Regions from separate parts of the Mus musculus genome. Here region 1 is reported to be linked to region 2. The links are microRNA targets in miRTarBase. Many come from high-throughput screens and were not tested one by one. Region 2 holds a microRNA gene; the other region holds the end of a gene's coding sequence.

What was found. Region 2 holds the annotated microRNA mmu-miR-106b-5p (UAAAGUGCUGACAGUGCAGAU, at 2,441-2,461, shown strand). A microRNA usually pairs through its seed, bases 2 to 8, with sites in the 3' UTR of a target mRNA and lowers its output. Matches are read on the target gene's strand: a 7mer-m8 pairs with bases 2 to 8, a 7mer-A1 pairs with bases 2 to 7 and ends in A, and an 8mer does both.
Region 1: the mRNA of St8sia3 is a reported target of mmu-miR-106b-5p. Seed matches in the 3' UTR shown: 7mer-m8 at 2,030-2,036, 7mer-A1 at 2,549-2,555 and 7mer-A1 at 2,640-2,646.

The regions. Positions count from the first base shown.
Region 1 is chr18:64,271,153-64,275,542 of GRCm38, forward strand. St8sia3 (ST8 alpha-N-acetyl-neuraminide alpha-2,8-sialyltransferase 3) reads left to right here. Exons shown (of 6, transcript NM_009182.3): 6 at 362-4,390. The coding sequence ends at 644. The region is part of intron 1 of St8sia3os (ST8 alpha-N-acetyl-neuraminide alpha-2,8-sialyltransferase 3, opposite strand); the gene reads right to left. Among named protein-coding and RNA genes, the nearest start is that of St8sia3os, 3.8 kb to the right of the region's middle.
Region 2 is chr5:138,163,858-138,168,247 of GRCm38, reverse strand. Mir106b (microRNA 106b) reads left to right here and starts at 2,430; the gene lies at 2,430-2,511. It overlaps Mcm7 (minichromosome maintenance complex component 7), which reads left to right. Exons shown (of 15, transcript NM_008568.3): 8 at 76-190; 9 at 276-407; 10 at 614-697; 11 at 809-1,202; 12 at 1,482-1,565; 13 at 2,170-2,338; 14 at 3,087-3,196; 15 at 3,328-3,665. The coding sequence ends at 3,529. It overlaps Mir25 (microRNA 25), which reads left to right and starts at 2,844; the gene lies at 2,844-2,927. Mir93 (microRNA 93) reads left to right here and starts at 2,638; the gene lies at 2,638-2,725. It also overlaps Cops6.

The sequences.
Region 1 (4,390 bases), not on the chromosome of region 2:
GAGATAATAGAGCTAAACCCCAACATTTGATAGCTGAATACAAAGAGTGGAGTGTGTTTGTCTAACGTCACAATTGAACATGGGAGAAATCAGAGTTCGGAACCAGGTCGTTATCCCAAATCTTTGACATCATCGTATTTACTCCCTTCTGCTCCATTTTTATTTGATTTTTTTATGACATTTTAAATTCCATCCGAAAGGGAGCAGGCCCGACCGCATACTGAAGCTGGGAAGTGTATCTAGCGGTGAAACCCAAACAGTCTAGAAAACTCTAGCTCCTTGCCCTGCTTCTTGACTTATCTGACTGAAACCTTCATTCAGTACCAGCTGCTGAATCTGCAATGTATTTATTGTTCTGCAGGTACTGGAAAAACAAACACCTGTCACCCAAACGACTGAGCACAGGTATCCTAATGTATACTCTTGCATCTGCAATATGTGAAGAGATCCACTTGTACGGTTTCTGGCCCTTTGGATTTGACCCCAACACCAGGGAGGATCTGCCCTACCACTACTATGACAAAAAAGGAACCAAATTTACCACCAAGTGGCAGGAGTCTCACCAGCTGCCTGCTGAGTTTCAGCTGCTCTATCGAATGCATGGGGAAGGGCTCACGAAGCTCACTCTGTCACACTGTGCCTAAGAACTCCAAATGGAAAGTGCCAAACGGCTGATTAAAAAGTGCCCCCACCCCCAAACCAAATTGAATAGTCTCCAGAACAGAACCCATAGACAATCTGGCAAAGCCTGTCTGCCACTTACAAGGAAAGACGCCTTCTCTTCCTCTTTTGCACTGCTCTTTGAATGGTCTTAACAAACTTAGGACAGGTGCATTGAAGCCGTGTGATTTAGACTTGATTGGGAAAAGGTTATATTGCATTTGGAAGTATGCTGCACAGAGAATAGCTTGAAATAGTTCTAAGTTTGTATTTTAATAATAAACCGACTCCCATGTGAATGAGGAATGTGACTGTCATCTCCTCCTCTCTACTTTGATATAGTCCTCACAACCAGGGAGCTCTGGCCAGCTCCAGCAGGATCTCTTTAGCCAAGGGGATCAGAATCTTCAAAATAAAAAGTAAAAAAACTGGTTTGCAGGTTGCATTCTCTCTCTCTCTCTCTCTCTCTCTCTCTCTCTCTCTCTCACACACACACACACACACACACACACACACACACACACACTTCCTGTTGCCCTAGTACCAATTAGGAATACTTCTGGGCTAGCTTTGCTTGTATGTGTTTGCATCTGTACCCATTGTGTTCAAGGCTCTGGATAACTTGGATGTTTCATAACAAACTGAGCAAATCTTAATGTCTTCCCCCGTGAAGAATTCTATAGGAAATGCCTCTTATTCTTACTGGTCCATATTGTTATTCTACAGCATGGTGGTCTATTTGAGTAGAGTGGCATAAGCTACAGTGTCTCTTCTTTCTGTCAAAAAGAAAGCCCACAGTGTGGGTAGCATTGTGTCTGTTGGCATGAGCGAAGTTGTGGCAGATCCTGCAAGGGCTTTCTAGTGTAGCCTTCAACTATTTAATTTCAAGCGCTAGGCTGGGCACTCTCTCAGAAAAAAAAAAGAGTCATTGGGTTAATTTAAACCCTAGGGACTATAAAGAAAGGGGAAGAAGAGTGTTTGCAGGTTGTATACTCTGCAAAGAATTGTGACCATTGGAGACATTGGAGAAGCACAAGAGTTGGTGTAGAAGACAAACTAGAGCTTTGGCCAGACTGGTCCCTGTGTGACGCATGTTAGCATTAGTCATGTCAGATCCTTTCTGTGACATCTCCACCAACAAGGATCTAGACATGCTTGCTTTCTTTGAAACAGTTGAAGATATTATTCTCTGTTTCCAAGTCTGTGTGCCTATACATTGAGCATCTCAAAAAAGAAAAGCCATTATGCAGTGGGAATACTTGGTCCTAAGTAACCTTTGGGATTTGAGATCAGCTGGCCATTGTTCTCACTGCTTCAGCTGTATCCGTAGAAATCACATCGCTCCCATCCCAGGCGTTTACACTGAGCAGCACTTTGTTCTTGCAATTCAACCCAAAGTCTGGCCAAGTTGATGTTAAATTTTCATAAGACTTTCCTCTTTACAAGGGCCCATGGAGCACATTTGTTATATGTTCCAGTGGGTTATCTTGTTCTTGTCCAGAAATCTCATCTAGACAGCTTACAGTGTTGTAAATATTTTTAAAAGCCCTTGCTATAGTTCAGGCATCAGTGTACTGGCCCTTTTTGGGAAAAAACAAAACCAACCATTCCTAAAAAGAAGTGGAGTAAGGACATGCACTGTTCTTGTGTAGCGCCTGGTCCTGGAGCTGCACTGGTCTTTTCGAGGAGATAAATCGACCCCAGATAAATCTAGTGAAAGAAAGCCACTCAGATCCAAACACAATGCCAACTGTGGCACATCTTACCCTTTGTGAATGCCAGCCACTTAGATAGAGGAGAGGAACTAGGGGCTAAATATTTCAAAATAAGAAGCATTTACTATGCACAGGATAGTAAGAAAATTAAAATTATAAGGTATTTTTAAAAACACTTTAGAATTCAAGGACAATTTCATGGGCATGAAAATTATACCATGGCTGTGCCCTGTCACAGTAAGCCACACCATGGCTGTGCCCTGTCACTTTAAAGAGTGCAGGACACCATGCTGCTACTCTGGATGGGTGTGGGTCATGGAGACTTGACAGAATTGCAGCAGTTATCATCAGGACTGAAAAGCCTAGCTATTCCTAAGCCCTTAGCTCATTTGGTTGCAGCTAAGTTATTCCAATGCTAACATTATCCAGGCCAGATTCTGACTCGAAAGCTTTAATTTCAGTGTGCCCATCAGGTCTTACTAAATATAAACTTGGACTCTTTACACTAAGCAAGACAAAATACTCAAAGACTAGAAGATCCCCAAAGCTAGTTGAATGTTGTGGTGTTTTTTGTTATTTTTTTTAATGCACCTTTTAACCTCAGTTGTATCCTGGACCTGCTGTTCTGACCAACTGATTCTACAATTTTTTTTTTCTGTTTCCCAAAACTATTTCAACATGTAAACCAATGCAACAGCTTTCATGGCAGGAAGATTTTCTTATTAGAAAAGCAGCCAGAGTTTGTTGGCTCTCCCACAGTCCCCAGGCTTGTAGGCTCAAATGCAGTGGACAGAGCAGAGGGACCATTGAGTTTCCTGTTTATGCAGCTACACGCTCATACCCCACCCTTCTATGTTGGCTCCACTTGGTTGGATCTGGGTTAGTACATTCTTTTCTTAGAAACATACTCATTTTTTTCGGCTACCTAGAGCTGAGTACACCATCAGCTATGTGAATAAATTTCACTATAATGCTCCCAAGGCTGTCTGAAAATAACTACTTACTTAGCAGAGAAGACAAGGAAATTTACAAACTCCTGGCAGCATGAGTCAAAAGGTGGTTGCCATGACTTCCTCCCACACCCGGAAATTTGGGGTCTGTGTGTGAGTCTATGGAGCTGGTGATCCAACCCAGGACCTTGCTCATGGTAGACAAATACTCTACCATTGATCTCCATTCCCAGACTGTGTTCTCATGCTAAGCAACTTTAACCGTTATTTTTAAAAATGCAGTCTATCTAGTAGTACTGTGTGTCTGCCAATGCTGAATATGACCACTGAACCATCTGTCTCTGACCTGAATATCAGACATGGGCTATAGCAAGGATATACAAAGGAAGACCCCGTTCATTCACCTAACCTTCTGGTACCAAGGCTGTCAGTGCCAATGGATATGAGTGTCCAGACAAAACTAATATATCAGAGAATTCAATGAATATGAGTCCATGCTATCTCACCTCAAGCAAGGCCCCAAACACTCAGACAATAATTCATGAGCCCCAGAGAAGCAGGAACAATAGAAAGGGAGAAGTCATTGAGTTTTCTAACCCATGTTGGCTTTACAAATATTAAGGTTGAGATACAGATAGACTAATAGATTTTCCCCAAAATTTTACATAGATAATTATTGACGTTATGATTTCACATATTAATCTTATCAGAATCAAAGATCAGGTCAAAGGAAAGCAACTTAACTCTGGAATATTTGGAGCGTAAACATAATGGAGAGGGGCCGTAAGGGAAGAAGGGGAAAAGACTACTAAATGCACTTGCCTGGGTACACAGCAGTAGGGGAGATACCTGCCCAGTACACAGCAGCCTGCTGAAAACCACCCACTCTCCCCTAAAATGAGAGAGAAACCTGTTAATCCTTGACTGATAAGTCCCAGTTCTGTTATTGATGGTACACAGCTGACAGATGAAATTGTACCTGATAGTATATTCATCTCAATAAAATCATGTGTGCATGATTTAGAATTTGAAGGCTAAAAGTGGCTGTGTACTTCTCCTTGTATA
Region 2 (4,390 bases):
TGAGGTGGAACTTGTGGATAAAAAATTCTCAGGGACTCTGGTGATGGGGACTTTAAAGGGAACTCTTGTGTCCAGGGCTTACTCTCAGAAACTTACCTGGAAGCCCACTGGATTGTGAAGATGACAAAGAGTGACGATGATGTCTCTGGGGCCGGAGAGCTGAGCTCAGAGGAGCTGAAGCAGATTGCAGGTGAGGGACCACGAGCTCAAGTTGAGAGTTGAGCTCCATCCTAGATTTTGTCCTGAAGGAAATGCTATGGCTTAATTTTTTGCAGAGGAGGATTTCTATGAGAAGCTGGCCGCTTCTATTGCTCCGGAGATCTATGGACATGAAGATGTGAAGAAGGCGCTGCTGCTGCTTCTGGTGGGTGGTGTGGACCAGTCTCCTCAAGGCATGAAGATCAGAGGTAAGAAGGACAAGAGACTTAGGAGGGAGGGTAAAAAAACATCCCACGAGAGTCTGTAAATGACAAGAGTTGATGATTTACCTTAGTGGTTGTTGTGTCTTAGAAGTAGTCTGGACTTTAAGAAGGGACCAGGTCTCAAGTGCTCTTCTCTGTTGGTGGACAACTTGGGTAAAGAGTATCACTCAGGCTTCCTTCTCATTTGCCAGGAAACATCCACATCTGCCTTATGGGAGACCCTGGTGTGGCCAAATCTCAGCTCCTATCTTACATCGACCGTCTGGCACCGCGAAGTGAGTGTGAACAGGGATGAGGCTTGGTGTTTGGTTGATAAACACTAAGGCCTCTGGAAGGCCTGGGGAAAGCGGTTCCTTTCTTCAGCAGTTTGCTCTTTATCTTTGCAGGTCAGTACACAACAGGCCGTGGCTCCTCTGGTGTAGGGCTCACAGCAGCTGTGTTGAGAGACTCTGTGAGTGGAGAACTGACTTTAGAGGGCGGTGCCCTGGTGCTGGCTGACCAGGGCGTGTGCTGCATTGATGAGTTTGACAAGATGGCCGAGGCTGACCGCACAGCCATCCATGAGGTTATGGAGCAGCAGACCATCTCCATCGCCAAGGCGGGGATTCTCACCACGCTCAATGCCCGATGCTCCATCCTGGCTGCGGCCAATCCTGCCTACGGCCGATATAATCCCCGCCGCAGTCTGGAGCAGAACGTCCAGCTTCCGGCTGCTCTGCTTTCTCGATTCGACCTCCTCTGGCTGATTCAAGACCGGCCCGACAGAGACAATGACCTCCGGTGAATGAAGTAGATGACACCCATAGAGACAGCCCATTTTAGTGACTTTGGGGCAGGGAGGTAAAATCAGAAAGCCACTCAACTTGTCTGTGTGCAGACACCTTAAACACCTTTCCTTGTTTGCAGTTCATATGGAGATAGGTTGGAGCTAAGATCTTGAGGGTTTTCTGGGAGGCCTGTCTGCCATGCTTTGGAGAAGAGGTGGTGCTAAAAGGGGATACTGAGTCAAGATTCTCAGGGTGTTAGAGCTCTAAAGACTGACGCCCGTCTTCTCTCCAGGTTGGCCCAGCACATCACCTATGTCCACCAGCACAGCCGGCAGCCCCCTGCCCAATTTGAACCTTTGGACATGAAACTTATGAGGTAGGAGGGGTGGAGATGGGTATGTCTGGGGAGAGTACTGGTCTGTGGCATTGTCTTATGCCAAGTGTGTCTGGAAAGCATTGAGTCTTGAAAGGACTCATCTGCTTATCTATTTCAGCCTCAAAAGTAGCTGAGCCTGGGTCTCTCTGTAGCCAAGGGATCATCAGAAACTTTTTTTCTGTTTTGGGATGACAGAGCAGCAGGCCTTATATAATCCTAGCTACTCTGAAACCTGAGTCATTTTGGGGATGTCTCCAAAAACTACTTCCCTCCTGTATATAAAGGAACCTCTCTCACTCTCTAAATCCTGTCCGAGGCAGGTCTAGCTTTTTGGCCATAAGTGCTTCCATGGCACAGATGACTCGGGTTTCTAAACTGGTTTTCACATGGTCTCTGAAGTCTGTCAAGGGGTTAAGTTAAATCCTCCCACTACAGGTGCTTTGGTAAATGTCATTCTCCTGAAAAGTTGGAAGTTACTTGAAGTGTCCTGGCAGCCCTGTTTTGGAGAAATCCCTCACTGTCCACGTCAGCATAGAATATTAAGTGGGGAATCTCATAAAGCCTGCCTGCTTTCCCGCTTTCCCATGAACCTTGTTTCCCACAGACGGTACATAGCCATGTGCCACGAGAGACAGCCCACAGTGCCTGAATCTCTGGCTGACTACATCACCGCAGCATATGTGGAGATGAGGCGAGAGGCCCGGGCCAGTAAGGATGCCACCTATACTTCTGCCCGGACCCTGCTGGCCATTCTCCGACTTTCCACTGCTCTGGTGAGTGGTGGGTCCCTGTCAGCTGGAAAGCTGACCCCTGCCTGCCACCTCACCTAATGACCCTCAAGCCGCCTCCTTCCCTCCTACCAGCCCTGCTGGGACTAAAGTGCTGACAGTGCAGATAGTGGTCCTCTCTGTGCTACCGCACTGTGGGTACTTGCTGCTCCAGCAGGGCACGTGCAACGCCCATGGAGGGAAAGGCTGCTTGCTGCTTGAATCCATGAGGGCTAGGACTTGAATTCCTGGTGTCCTAGATATGATCTTAGAAATCTCCATTCTGTCCTCCCCTCTTGGACCTTAGTCATGGGGGCTCCAAAGTGCTGTTCGTGCAGGTAGTGTAATTACCTGACCTACTGCTGAGCTAGCACTTCCCGAGCCCCCAGGACACAACCTCTGATAGTGGCCCTAGCTGAGCGCCCCAGGCTCCATTTGTTTGATGGGGAGCCTAGTGGAGTTCAGAAGGGTCTGGTCTCCCTCACAGGACAGCTGAACACCCACCGGGACTGGCCAGTGTTGAGAGGCGGAGACTTGGGCAATTGCTGGACGCTGCCCTGGGCATTGCACTTGTCTCGGTCTGACAGTGCCGGCCCAACACTGCAGATGTGGGGGGGCAGGGAGGAGTCCCCATTTTTGTTCAATGAGTAGGCAAATGTGGCTTGCCCAGGCTTGAAGCTGGAGCAAAGAAAGATCCTTGACTTCATTCCCCTCCTCCCCTCCTATCCCAATCTTTTCTATGCCTTCCCCTTAGGCTCGACTTCGGATGGTAGACATTGTGGAGAAGGAAGATGTAAATGAAGCCATAAGGTTGATGGAGATGTCGAAGGACTCCCTTCTAGGTGAAAAGGGACAGACAGCTAGGTGAGGATTTTAATGAAGAGTGAGACTGGACCACTGGGCTTATTGACCTGGCTTGCCCTCAGGGTTTTGATGCTGATTGCTGCTACTGTTTGTGGCCTTGCACCTTCACCTTTTCCATCCTTGTCTTTTAGGACCCAGAGGCCAGCAGATGTGATATTTGCCACCATCCGTGAATTGGTGTCACGGGGGCGGAGTGTCCACTTTTCTGAGGCTGAACAGCGCTGCATATCTCGTGGCTTCACACCAGCCCAGTTCCAGGCAGCTCTGGATGAATATGAGGAGCTAAATGTCTGGCAGGTTAATACTTCTCGGACACGGATCACCTTTGTCTGATAGCCAGTTTTTACACCCTCCTGCCTACACCAGAGGGCATGCTGAATGCCCCCTCAAGAAAAAATCTCATTCTCCCATGCTGCACTTTTTTATTCTGCCAATAAAGTGTTTTGATTGCCTCTTGCTTGTTAATAACTCTGTAGAGTTTTTAGTATGCTCTCTCCTCCCCTAGTCTCTAGTACTGACCCTTACTATGTGCTAGTCAATCTGGGAGATAGAAGGCCTTGGGACCACTGTTTCTTGAGATGCTTCCAATTATGGACATTTCGTTTGTTAGACCCCCACATCTAGACGTGATGACACCAGGATGTGAAGGGCAGAAAGTTGCGCCTAGCACAAGGTATGACTTAAGTGGAAGGCCTAAGGATGAGGTACATATCACCCTCCTAGGTACCTTCAGGATATAGAAAAACAAGGACTTGAGATAACCACAATTACAAAGATGGAATTCAGCTTCCCTCCCCTTCCTATTTGAGAAACATTTGCAGTGAAATTAAATTAGCCTGGGAAAGCAATCTTTCTGTGGAGCTGTGACATGAATTGATCACAGAGCACAAAAACTGGAAGCAAGCAGGTCGTCCTATCACATTTTGTCTACTTCAACAAGGGGTCACCTCGAGTCATTAAAAGGTGGGTAGGTGGTCAAAAAATGTGGATTAATGGGTGAAGCTTCCTTAAGAGTCCATGTTGAGAAACCAGTGTGGTGCCTGAGAGGACAAAGCCACTGGAAGGGCTGCTAAGGGGCTGCTCTTTTATTAATGAGTTTCTCTAAAGGGAATGTGGTACTCAGGTCCATGGAACAGCTGTCTGAGCCCCACACACCATCCCTTCCAGAACCATCATCAGAAAAACAGTCCCCGC